Macaca fascicularis: one gene and its partners. The main gene of each other region encodes a partner of the protein of the gene in region 2 in a complex. Links are inferred from orthologs where the notes say so. Each region holds a gene or a part of one and is shown on either strand. Other genes may lie near its edges.

The links. The genes of interacting proteins can lie anywhere in the genome.
Region 1: the proteins of MAPK14 (region 2) and TAB1 are in contact, whole or in part, in a crystal structure (PDB 4LOP), measured with the Mus musculus proteins. The link is inferred for Macaca fascicularis from reciprocal best matches to the Homo sapiens genes MAPK14 and TAB1. Residues at the interface, in NP_036081.1 of Mus musculus: Gly110, Ala111, Asn115, Ile116, Cys119, Gln120, Lys121, Leu122, Thr123, Asp124, Asp125, His126, Phe129, Val158, Asn159, Glu160, Asp161, Cys162, Leu217, Thr218, Gly219, Arg220, Thr221, Leu222, Asn272, Val273, Phe274, Ile275, Gly276, Ala277; in NP_079885.2 of Mus musculus: Val385, Tyr386, Pro387, Val388, Ser389, Val390, Pro391, Tyr392, Leu405, Ser406, Leu407, Val408, Met409, Pro410.
Region 3: MAPK14 (region 2) and NOD2 share a complex: the UniProt entries of both Homo sapiens proteins name them as parts of the signaling complex. The link is inferred for Macaca fascicularis from reciprocal best matches to the Homo sapiens genes MAPK14 and NOD2.

Annotation. Positions count from the first base shown.
Region 1 is NC_088384.1:12,226,366-12,229,166, reverse strand, and holds part of TAB1 (TGF-beta-activated kinase 1 and MAP3K7-binding protein 1), read left to right. Parts: intron 1-831; coding exon 832-994; intron 995-2,801. UniProt on the Homo sapiens protein: Key adapter protein that plays an essential role in JNK and NF-kappa-B activation and proinflammatory cytokines production in response to stimulation with TLRs and cytokines.
Region 2 is NC_088378.1:135,569,781-135,573,520, forward strand, and holds part of MAPK14 (mitogen-activated protein kinase 14), read right to left. Parts: intron 3,520-3,740; coding exon 3,440-3,519; intron 1,136-3,439; coding exon 1,057-1,135; intron 1-1,056. UniProt on the Homo sapiens protein: Serine/threonine kinase which acts as an essential component of the MAP kinase signal transduction pathway.
Region 3 is NC_088394.1:46,666,454-46,670,193, forward strand, and holds part of NOD2 (nucleotide-binding oligomerization domain-containing protein 2), read left to right. Parts: intron 1-1,085; coding exon 1,086-1,191; intron 1,192-3,740. UniProt on the Homo sapiens protein: Pattern recognition receptor (PRR) that detects bacterial peptidoglycan fragments and other danger signals and plays an important role in gastrointestinal immunity.

The DNA.
Region 1 (2,801 bases), on a different chromosome or scaffold from region 2:
GTAGAGATGATGGCCACCACTGATTGAGTGCCTACCATGTGCCAGGCGCACAGCCTGCATTATTCCCTTCGGTCCTCATGGGTAACCCTAAAGACAGGCGGTACCCCTGTTTTCCAGAGGGGGAATCCGAGGCTGAAGAATGAAGAGACCTGGAAGAGATGAGGCATGTGGACAAATGGTCAGGCCCCAGGGCCTGTCTGTCCCTGGGCTGCACTGGAGCAGGGCAGGGAGAAGGACGTTTTGCTTTCTACCTATGTCATTCTTCAAGTTCTCAGGAGAAGAGGCGGCTGCTTTCTCCCGTGCTCCCCGCAGTGCTGCTCAGCACTAAGACCTTCGGTTCCCGAGGGCTGCATTTCTTTTTCTTTGTTTTAAACAAGCAAACCTTAGATAAAGCTCAGGCATCCACAGACAGATTTGTTCTCCCATGGACACCAGGGTTATTGAAGTTTCTTTGGCCGTTGTTATTGCAACCATATTTTTATTGGGTCAGCCTCAACTGGGAGCAAACTTATCCTCTGGATTAAAGCATCCGTGGGAAGCCAGGCAGTAACCCTTTCCTTGAGGCAACTTGAGCACCAGCAGGCTTTACTGCTAGCTTTATTGCTACAAGGAGTTCTCAGCCCAGCCTGGAAGAGTCTCTGCCAAGGGACACTCCTCCTGAACTGTCCCAAGGGGCAGGGGGCCGCTCTGGGCTTGGGGAGCCAGGCATGGCCACCACCTACACTCAGCCCTCAGGCACCACCCCATCAGGCCATGGGAGCAGCTTTGCCCCTGTTAACCCGGGTGTCTCCTCAGCCACTGCCTGAGGCCCCCACTCTCTTCCTCCCAAAGCTGCAGGGGGACGAGTGTACCCTGTGTCTGTGCCATACTCCAGTGCCCAGAGCACCAGCAAGACCAGCGTGACCCTCTCCCTTGTCATGCCCTCCCAGGGCCAGATGGTCAATGGGGCTCACAGCGCTTCCACCCTGGATGAAGCCACCCCGACCCTCACCAAGTAAGTCCCTCCCCCACTTAGCCACCCCGAGCCCTGTCCCCCCATGGGTGCCCTGTGGCACCGGGACAGAAATGACCATGGGGCCAAGGGTTGTGGATAAGATGCCCTGGGGTCTGGAAGTCCCCAGCTCCATGCCTGGTGAGGGAGGTCTCCCTAGAAACTGAGGCAGGTGGGGTTTTCGGTCAGGTGGCTGATGGTCCCAGCCTACTTCTCGTATTTTCTTGTGGGCCGGTCTGCTGGTTTCAGTCAGTGGAAGGTTCTCTTTTCATTCCCCACCTGGGTGTGATGTGGGGTGGCTTCCTGTGATATGGGGTGACTTCCCTTGGTGTCCTTGCTTGGGGACATTGGCCTGTACTGGCTTGTCAGAGCCCGTGCTTTCTGGCTAATGTGCTTAAGTTTAGCTTTGAAGTGAGTTCTGTGGTTTCTGGGCAGGGGGCGAGGTAGAGACAGCAGCCTGAGGGGGTTGCAGCTAGGCCCCGTCCAGCCGCAGACCTGCCTGAGTACACCCCACCCCCTTCCCTTCCGTAGAATGTGCACCCCCCACACCAGGGGACCCAGATCTGGTTTCCACATTCCAGCCCTGCATGGAATGATAGAGATGCCACACCCAGCCCACTCTGAGGATGGAGTGTGCAGGATGTGGCCAATTAGAAAGGCCCTGGAGTGGGGTGGGTGGCCTGTTTACCTCTGCCTCATCAGGGGGCCTTCCTTTCCCTCTGCCTGTGAGTCGTGGATGCTGCGACTACTGCCACAGGGCTAGAAAGGCCTGCCAGACCGAGCAAGCTCCGTGGGCTTCCTGAGTGCAGTAGGGGTGGCCTATCCAGTACCCCTGCCGGGCTGCTTGGAGGAGTCCTCCAGCTGTGTCCACAAAGCAGAGTGGGACTGCTGTGGCCCTAGACAAGGCAGGACAACCCGCCCTCCTCCGCTGCCTATGTTCCTCACTCCCTTCAGCGTCTGAGCCATGGTAGTTGGTCCCACCATGGGCTAGCCCTCTGCTGGTGCTGGGCAGCGCTAACAGGCAGTTCCAGCTGTGACTTAAAGTGGGTGCCTGTCCCCACCCAGCTGATGAGAAGAGAGTGAAGGGGAGGGGGCGAAGGAAGGTTTTCTAGAAGACACCTTGCCCGCCCTGCTGAGTAGGGCCTGGGTTGGGAAGGGTTTAGAGAGATGGTAATGGACAGTCGGTGGCTCAGCTGCACCTGGGGAACTTCCTGTGATGGCGGGAGTGCTCGCATGGGTGCTGTCCTGTCACCGCGTCTCCAGCACTTGTGGCTATTAGACACTTGAACTGAGTGTTCCATTTTCTTTTTTTTTTTTTTTTTCTTTGAGACAGAGTTTCACTCTTGTTGCCCAGGGCGGAGTGCAATGGCAAAATCTTGGCCCACTGCAACCTCTGCCTCCCAGGTTCAAGCAATTCTCCTGCCTCAGCCTCCCAAGCAGCTGGGATTACAGGTGCGTGCCACCACGCACAGCTAAATCTTTTTCTATTTTTAGTAGAGATGGGGTTTCACCGTGTTGGCCAGGCTGGCCTCGAACTCCTAACCTCAGGTGATCCACCCTGCCTTGGCCTCCCAAAGTGCTGGGATTACAGGCATGAGCCACTGCGCCTGGCCCATTTTCTTTACCTTTAGTTCATTTAAGTAGCCACATGCAGCTGGTGCTTCAAAACTTGACTTTTTATCTCTTCCTAAGAGCATCTGGCTGGGCCAGCTCTTATGGTTGCCTCTGCCAGAAAGGCCTGTGGCCCAAGGGGGTGGTAGAGGCAGGGGCCATTCTATCCCCACACTGCCCCAGCCCCCTTGACCTGACT
Region 2 (3,740 bases):
TGAGGCTCAGGCAAAGCAGCTTTCAGGGACCATCTGAAGCACACATCAGTCCTCCCCTTCAAAGAATATAGTCAGCCAGGCATGGTGGCTCACATCTGAATCCCAGCACTTTTGGAAGTTGAGGTGGGCAGATTGCATGAGCCCAGGAGACAAAGATTAGTAGATGGTGAGACCCTGTCTCTACAAATAATTCTTTAAAAAATTAGCCAGGCATGGGGATGCATGCCTGTAGTCCTAGCTATGTGGGAGGCTGAGGCAGGAGGATCACTGGAGCCCAGGAGTTTAAGCCTGCAGTGAGCCATGACTGTGCCACTGTACTCTAGCCTGGGTAACAGACTGAGACCCTGACACTACCAAAAAAAATAATAACAATAATAATAATAATAATAATAAAGCAATTGCATTTTTAGCCAAGGCAACACATATCTTCAACTGCCACCATCACTTCCCTCTGCCAAGGATCTTGAAGGCATATGAAGCCATTTCTTTAAGTTTAGGTAGCAAATAAGCTCCACAAAGAGGAGAGGATAGTTACACCTCTAAGGGGCAGAGAAAGAATAAGGGAGGGGAAAAGTTCATGTGTGTGGAAGATGACAGGATCTGTAGCAACGGCAGCTACTGACAGAGCAGAGCACCCTGCAGGGAGTTCCTGGGTGGGTCCTCTAAACACCCACCTGTACTTCAGTGGTTTTTGTCCTCCACTCAGGGACACCATGAATCCACAGCAGTTGTGAACAAGCTACAGCTTTCTTCTGTATCTGCTTCTTCCTGCCTCTCCAATCCTTTATCTCAACATTCCTATTACTTTCTCTCCTTTCTCCACTGTACCTGCCCATTCCCCCGACCCCAAGGTCTGTGATCATTTAAACATATAAGCATCTCATGTAATTAAAAAAAAATCTGACAACACAAATAGATAATAAAAGCCATATTTATCACCTTCCAAGATTCAACTAATGGTACGTTATTTGGTCAAAAGGAGAAACTCTTCTTCATATCCCCAATTTATATCATAACCAATTCAATATCCATGAGGTGAGGATATTGTCAACTTACCCAGGGGATTGGCACCAATAAATACATTCGCAAAGTTCATCTTCGGCATCTGCGTCAAAGACTGAATATAGTTTCTTGCCTGAAAAAACAAGGGTTTTCAGAATTACTTTGTTCAATAATGTTACTTCTCTCAAAGAAAGAACCTTGGTCCTGCTAAGGAACGAGTGTTAACTGACAAAGTCCACTAACTCCAATGTTTATAACTGTCTTTGATAAAACTTCTCCCTTACTGCTATCCTAACTTCCTAGTTATGATCATCACCTTCTTTATTCCTGCTATCTCTCACAGTTGCATTTCAAGTGAACGAGAATACTCATCAATCAAATTCTCTTTCATCAGCTTTCTGATCACAGGATGAGAAGTTTAAAAACTGAGGCCGAGATATGTAAGAAGTAGCCCTTTCTGAGACAGCCTTCTCAAAAAGCTAAAATTGTTAGAAGGGTTGGTATTCCCAAAGTAAGTCTTGGACCAGCAGTCTTTTGATAGTGCTGACTTCAGCAGGTGCTCTTAGCACATCAAAGGACATCAATATTAAACCTTGCTAACAAAGTAACACTGGTAACAAAAAAGTTAATATAAACTTAATATAACAGTCCTACCTCACAGGGTTGGAGTGAAGATTAGAGATAACAAACCTAGTACTTTCTTAACACAGTACTTGGTTCCAAGTGAGAGTTCAAGAAACATTATCTGCTATCCCACTATCACCTTCAGAGAAAAGCAAAGTCTGCTGTCTATCTTAACCACCTTTTTAAAATTTCTGTTTTAATACAGTCCAACAGTAAAGGTATGTATGTATATTTATGTTTACACATACACACACAAGGTTGTAAAAAGTTCTGGTTGCCCAGACACGGTGACTCACGCCTGTAATCCCAGCACTTTGGGAGGCCAAGGAGGGCAGATCACTTGAGCCCAGGGCTTTGAGACCAGCCTGGGTAACATGGTGAAAACTTGTCTCTAAAAACACAAAAAATTAGCCAGGCATGGTGATGCATGCCTGTGGTCCCAGCTACTTGGGAGGCTGAGGTAAGAGGATCACTTGAGCAGGGAGATGGAGCCCAGGAAGCTTGAGCACAGGAGGTGGAGGTTCCAGTGAGCTAAGATTGTGCCACTGCACTCCAGCTGGGGTGACAGAGTGAGATCCTATCTTAAAACAAAACAAAAACAAAAACAAAATCTGGTTGCTTGGGCAAGTTCACCTTATTTATTAAAAAATTTTTTTTAGAGACACAGTCTCTGTTCTGTTGCCTACGCTGGAGATCACTGGCACAATCACAGCTCACTATAGCCTCAAACTTCTGACTCCAGCAACCCTCCTGCCTCAGCTTCCCAAGTAGCTGAGACTGCAGGCGTGTGCTATCATGCCGTAATTTTTAAATTTTTTTGTAGACCTGCAGTATTGCTGTGTTGCCCAGGATGGTCTCAAACTCCTGGGCTCAACTGATCCTACCATCTCAGCTTCCAAAGTGCTGAGAATTGCAGATGCACGCCACCACGCCCAGCCTTCACCTTCTTAATGATTGCATGTGGAGTCAGGAGGAAAGGTCTGCTTTGAAAAGCAACTGAGAATCTTTCTGATTTGAAAAGAAAGTTGTAGGAATTGAATATATAAATGGCTGTAATCCCTTTCTACTTGAACATGTAAATAAAAAGATGAAGGGAAAACAGGTAAGAGACAATTATCTCATTCAGAGAACAGTCATCCCTTTAATAAAGATAAATCAACAGATGACCTGAATATAGCCGAAGTAGAAACAAAGTTGCTGGGAGGGGCTCTCTGTGATGCCAACCCGGTTCCCTAAAATATTAAGGGTATCTTAGAAAGAAAGAAGTGCCCCAATGACCTCTGATAATAAAACAAGAGTTAGACTAAGTAGTTAAGAATAAAGAAGGTACCTAACTGTACCAAAGTGTTTGTATTTATTTTATATTATTTGTGTATTTTCTTTTAAATATAGTATGTATTAGTACTGGATATTTCAGTTTTGTTTTGTTTTGTTTTTAAATAAAGAATTCTCTTTTGGTCATTAAAAAAGTGGATGAATTAGAAAGCATGCTAATGGACTTCAGTTAACTACCCTTCTGATAAAGGTCATGATAGTAGCACACCCTAGCTACAGGCATAGCACCTAGAAAGAAACCGCCTCACGAGCACTAAATTCACAAAACCAAATATAAAAATAACAATTTTCCATCCCCAATCTCACAAGACTGGATGACATTTTATCCCAAAAGTCAACATCCTGCAATAGCACATAGGCAGGCCTCCAGGCACATGCAAGCATCCAGTGATGTTAAAAACTGTTGGTTATACAGTGGCAATAAAATGAGAACGTGGCTTCTCAGTGCGACATCCCTGTACAGTCTCTTTGTTCTCACCTCATGGCTTGGCATCCTGTTAATGAGATAAGCGGGGGGTGTTCCCGTCAGACGCATAATCTGCTGAAGCTGGTTAATATCTTAGATGCCTAGTCAAGGGCATTGTTAAACATACAGTGCAAAAAATAATTTTCAACTCAAGTTTTTAAAAAGGTCAAAAAGCCACCCCTAAACAAACAAAAAAACCTACCCCCCATTCACCCTACCCGAGGACCCAAGGCTGCATGTTAAAGCTTCTGTGAATGACATGAGTCGCTTCTGTGAATGACATGAGTAACTAGGCATGTAGTCAGTGACTGGC
Region 3 (3,740 bases), on a different chromosome or scaffold from region 2:
GGGCTCACTGCAATCTCTGCCTGCCAGGTTCAAGTGATTCTCCTGCCTCAGTCTCCTGAGTACCTGGGACTACAGGCACATGCCACCACACTTGGCTAATTTTTTGTATTTTTAGTGGTGATGGAGTTTCACCACGTTGTCCAGGCTACTCTGGAACTCCTGACCTCAGGGGATCCGCCTGCCTTGGCCTCCCAAAGTGCTGGAATTACAGGCGTGAGCCACCAGGCTCGGCCATATTTTGCTATTTTCTACATGGATTACATGTTGCAATGGTAATGTTTGGACTATTGTGGGTTAAATAGAATATATGATTAAAGTGAATTCATCTATTTCTTTTAACTTTAAAACATATGTCTGTTAGAGGATTTGAAATTCCACATGCGGCTTGCATTTGTGCCCTGCATTTTATTTCTGTTGGACGGTGCTCTTTGGGACGTGCTTTGAAGGTGGAGTCAACAGGATTTGACAGATTACAGAGGAGAGACTTCGAGGGTGATTCCACGACTTCGGGGCTGAGCACCTGGAAGAATGGGGTTAATATTAGCCAAGATGAGGAAGGCTGTTGGTTTGGCAGGTGCGTGGGCAGGTTAGGAGTTTAGTTTTGAATATGTTGGAGGTGTTTATGAAACTTTTAAGTGGAAATGGAAACTAGGCAGTTGGATGCGTAAGTCCAGGGTTCAGGGGGACAGTTCAGGCTGGAGATGAAGATGTGGGAGTCTGAGCAGAGATTGTATTCAAATATTCAATCCATGAGACTTGATGAAATCACTTCTCTTCCAAATGGTGTACAGCCTACAGAATCATTTTCCCTATCTTTGTAGGTTTATGTCTTCATGTTGTTTCATTTATTTTTCAGTTATTCACTGTTTCAGTGAGTTTTGGGTAGGAGCCAGATTGGATGCGTGTGTTCAATTCACCATCCAACACTATTAACGACTTGAAACTTCTGTGGTTGTTCAGTTGCTTTTCTGACCTTTTATTCTGGACAGAAGAGAGATGCTTATGAAGTTGTAGTAATCAGTAAGCCTTCCCACACTGCTCCATCAGCCTTCCTGGAGGAACAATGTCTTCTGTCTTTCCCGTAGGCAAGAAGGCTGCTCGATCTTGCCACAGTGAAAGCGAATGGATTGGCCGCCTTCCTTCTACAACATGTTCAGGAATTACCAGTCCCGTTGGCCCTGCCTTTGGAAGGTAGGTATATGTTCTCAGTTAATCAGAAAGGGAAGGGCAGTCAGTGCAGATCCATGGTTAAGAGTAGAACACACCTCGGTTAGCGTCCCATATGCTGGCAGTGTAGCCTCCATGTGACTCAGTTTCCTTGTTTTAAGGCTACCACCACCCCCTATCTCATTGCAATTTTAGGAGGATTAAAAGGACAAAAGCGTGTGATGTTAGCTATTAGCTTTCATTATCTCCCACACAGTACACTGACAATTGGAGCTACCATATGCTGAAGGCTAACTAAAGGTGTTACTTACCATCCAAACTCTCGTTATCTGTACCAAAAAGATACGGACACGCGTTTTGAGTTAGGGCTGGTACCTCTTGATCTCTGAAATTTAGCAGCTCACAATCGGAAACTCAAGAACCAAGTGGATCTAGAGACTCTGGTATCCCTCAGTGCCCAGGGTCACCACCCAAACTCAGGAACAGGAGGAGCTTGGACAGCACCTCTTGAACATACCAGGCATCCTGCCGGGTGCTTTATGGACAATGTCTACCCTTTGCAACAACCCTGAGAAGTAGGTGGTGGTTTTTTCACCTTATAGATGTGGAAACTGGGCAGGGAGGTTAAGTGACAAGGGAGGGGGAGATGGGTCTGATTGTAAATTGTCCCCACCTACACTTTCTCTTTTCTTGGGAGAAGAAATGTCAGTTGTAAAGAGAGGGTGCAAAAGTCTGGCACTCTTTAGGGCTTGTTCCTATACCACTGTAGGGAAAGCTCATTGGCACTGAAGCTCCCTGAGCTGTGCGTGGTGCTGGCAGTTGGGTCTATCACCCTGGGCCCTGCCCTGTGGGCAGCAAGCAAACCTGTGGGAGGGGTGGCTGTAAGTCTGTGCCTGGCACTCGCGAGTGCACTGTCTCGTCAAAGAACGGGATCTAAACATCAGTGCACCACAGGGGGGTTGAGCAGCATGGAGCGCGGGGCCTGGTTTGGCCCTTGGTTGAGGTTTGCCGTTGATATCATCAAGCACAGCTGGTCACTGTAAGACCAGGCCAGGGTGCAGGATTCCCCACACTTCTAAAGGTGTGTTTATTTCTCTATAAAATGACATTTTCTTTTTTTCCGGAGAATTTTAGTATCATTGGTGATGGCTGGAAAGCCTGCATTGGAAATCAGGTCGGAAGAGGAAGATATATATCTGATATGTATTGGAGAGGAAGATATTTACCTTATGGTCTAAGTTCAGGGATCCTGGTGTATTCAGAGGGCAGAAAGCTCAGCAATAATCATCAACTCTGGGAACAACAGAGGTGACGTAAACACAGGGCGTCCCCTTTGTGTGACTGCAGATAGTCGTCAGTGAGCTCAGAGCTCTCTGAAAATTACTTGTTAGTTTTTGGGTTGAAAATAAGTGGGCCAGTGTTTGGTTGGGGGCAGTGAGGCTGTGATGGCGGGGGACCGTGCTGAGTTCCTACCAGCCGGGGACTCTAAACCAGCACTTCCCCGTTTCCTGAAAGGGGAACTAAACCCTGACACAGGAAATGGCTCGCTCGCATTGCTTTCAGGATGAGAAAGGAAGAGCAGTAGCCTTCCAAACACACCCTGTGCATGAAAACTCTCCCTGCATGGGGTGCATGGGGAGGATGAGGAAGTGGAGGCAGGATCACAGACTCTCATTCTAGTGCTCAGCTGGGGCACCCTGGTGACCCCGAGGCCTTCTATTGCTAGGCCCACCCAGATCAATCAGGCTCATCTCCCCATCTCGAAGTTTAACTTTATCACATCTGCAGAGTTCCTTTTGCCACATAAGGTAACATATTCACAGGTTCTGAGGATCGGGACACGGACATCTTCGAGGGTCTATTGTTGTGCCTACTATAGCCATGAATAATAATGATAATAAGCACCATTTTTTGAGAGTTTGCCATGTCAGATATTCTTTTAAACTCTATTTTATCTCACTGCCTCCTGAAACAATCCTTCCAGGTGTATATTGTCCCCATTTTTACAGATGAGAGAACTGAGGCCCAGAAAGGCTAAATGGCTTGCCCAAGTGTGTGGTGGACGCAGGTTTTCACGCTCCGGTGTGTCAGACTTCAGAGACTGGGCTCCTGAGCCCTGAAGCCCTTTGTTCCCCTTAGAAAAAGTTAACTGAGAGTGAATGGTGAAGGGATTTATCCAAAGCCACCTGGCCATTATGGCAGGACAGATATCAGAATACAGGTCTTCTGATCCCAGCCTAGAGCCCCTTCCCATCATCTACAACTCCTCCTGGTGTGAGTAATGATAACGGCAGTCACTGATGTCTTTGGACTTACTTTGTGTTGAGCACTGTGCTGAGCACTTGACATACGTCATCTTAGTTGATCCGTGTAAAAAGTCTGTAAGGTAGAGATCAACATTTCTCCCACCTTACAGAGGTGGAAACTGACCGTTAGGAAGTTTCCTTGATTGTCCTCAAAGTCCACAGCTTGTGAATGGAGGAGCCAGGATGGGCGCTTGCTGGCTGTCCTATCCCTTCAGTTATGTCAGCTTCCCCCACAGCAGCCCACTGTCTGATTAGGTCCCCTCTTCA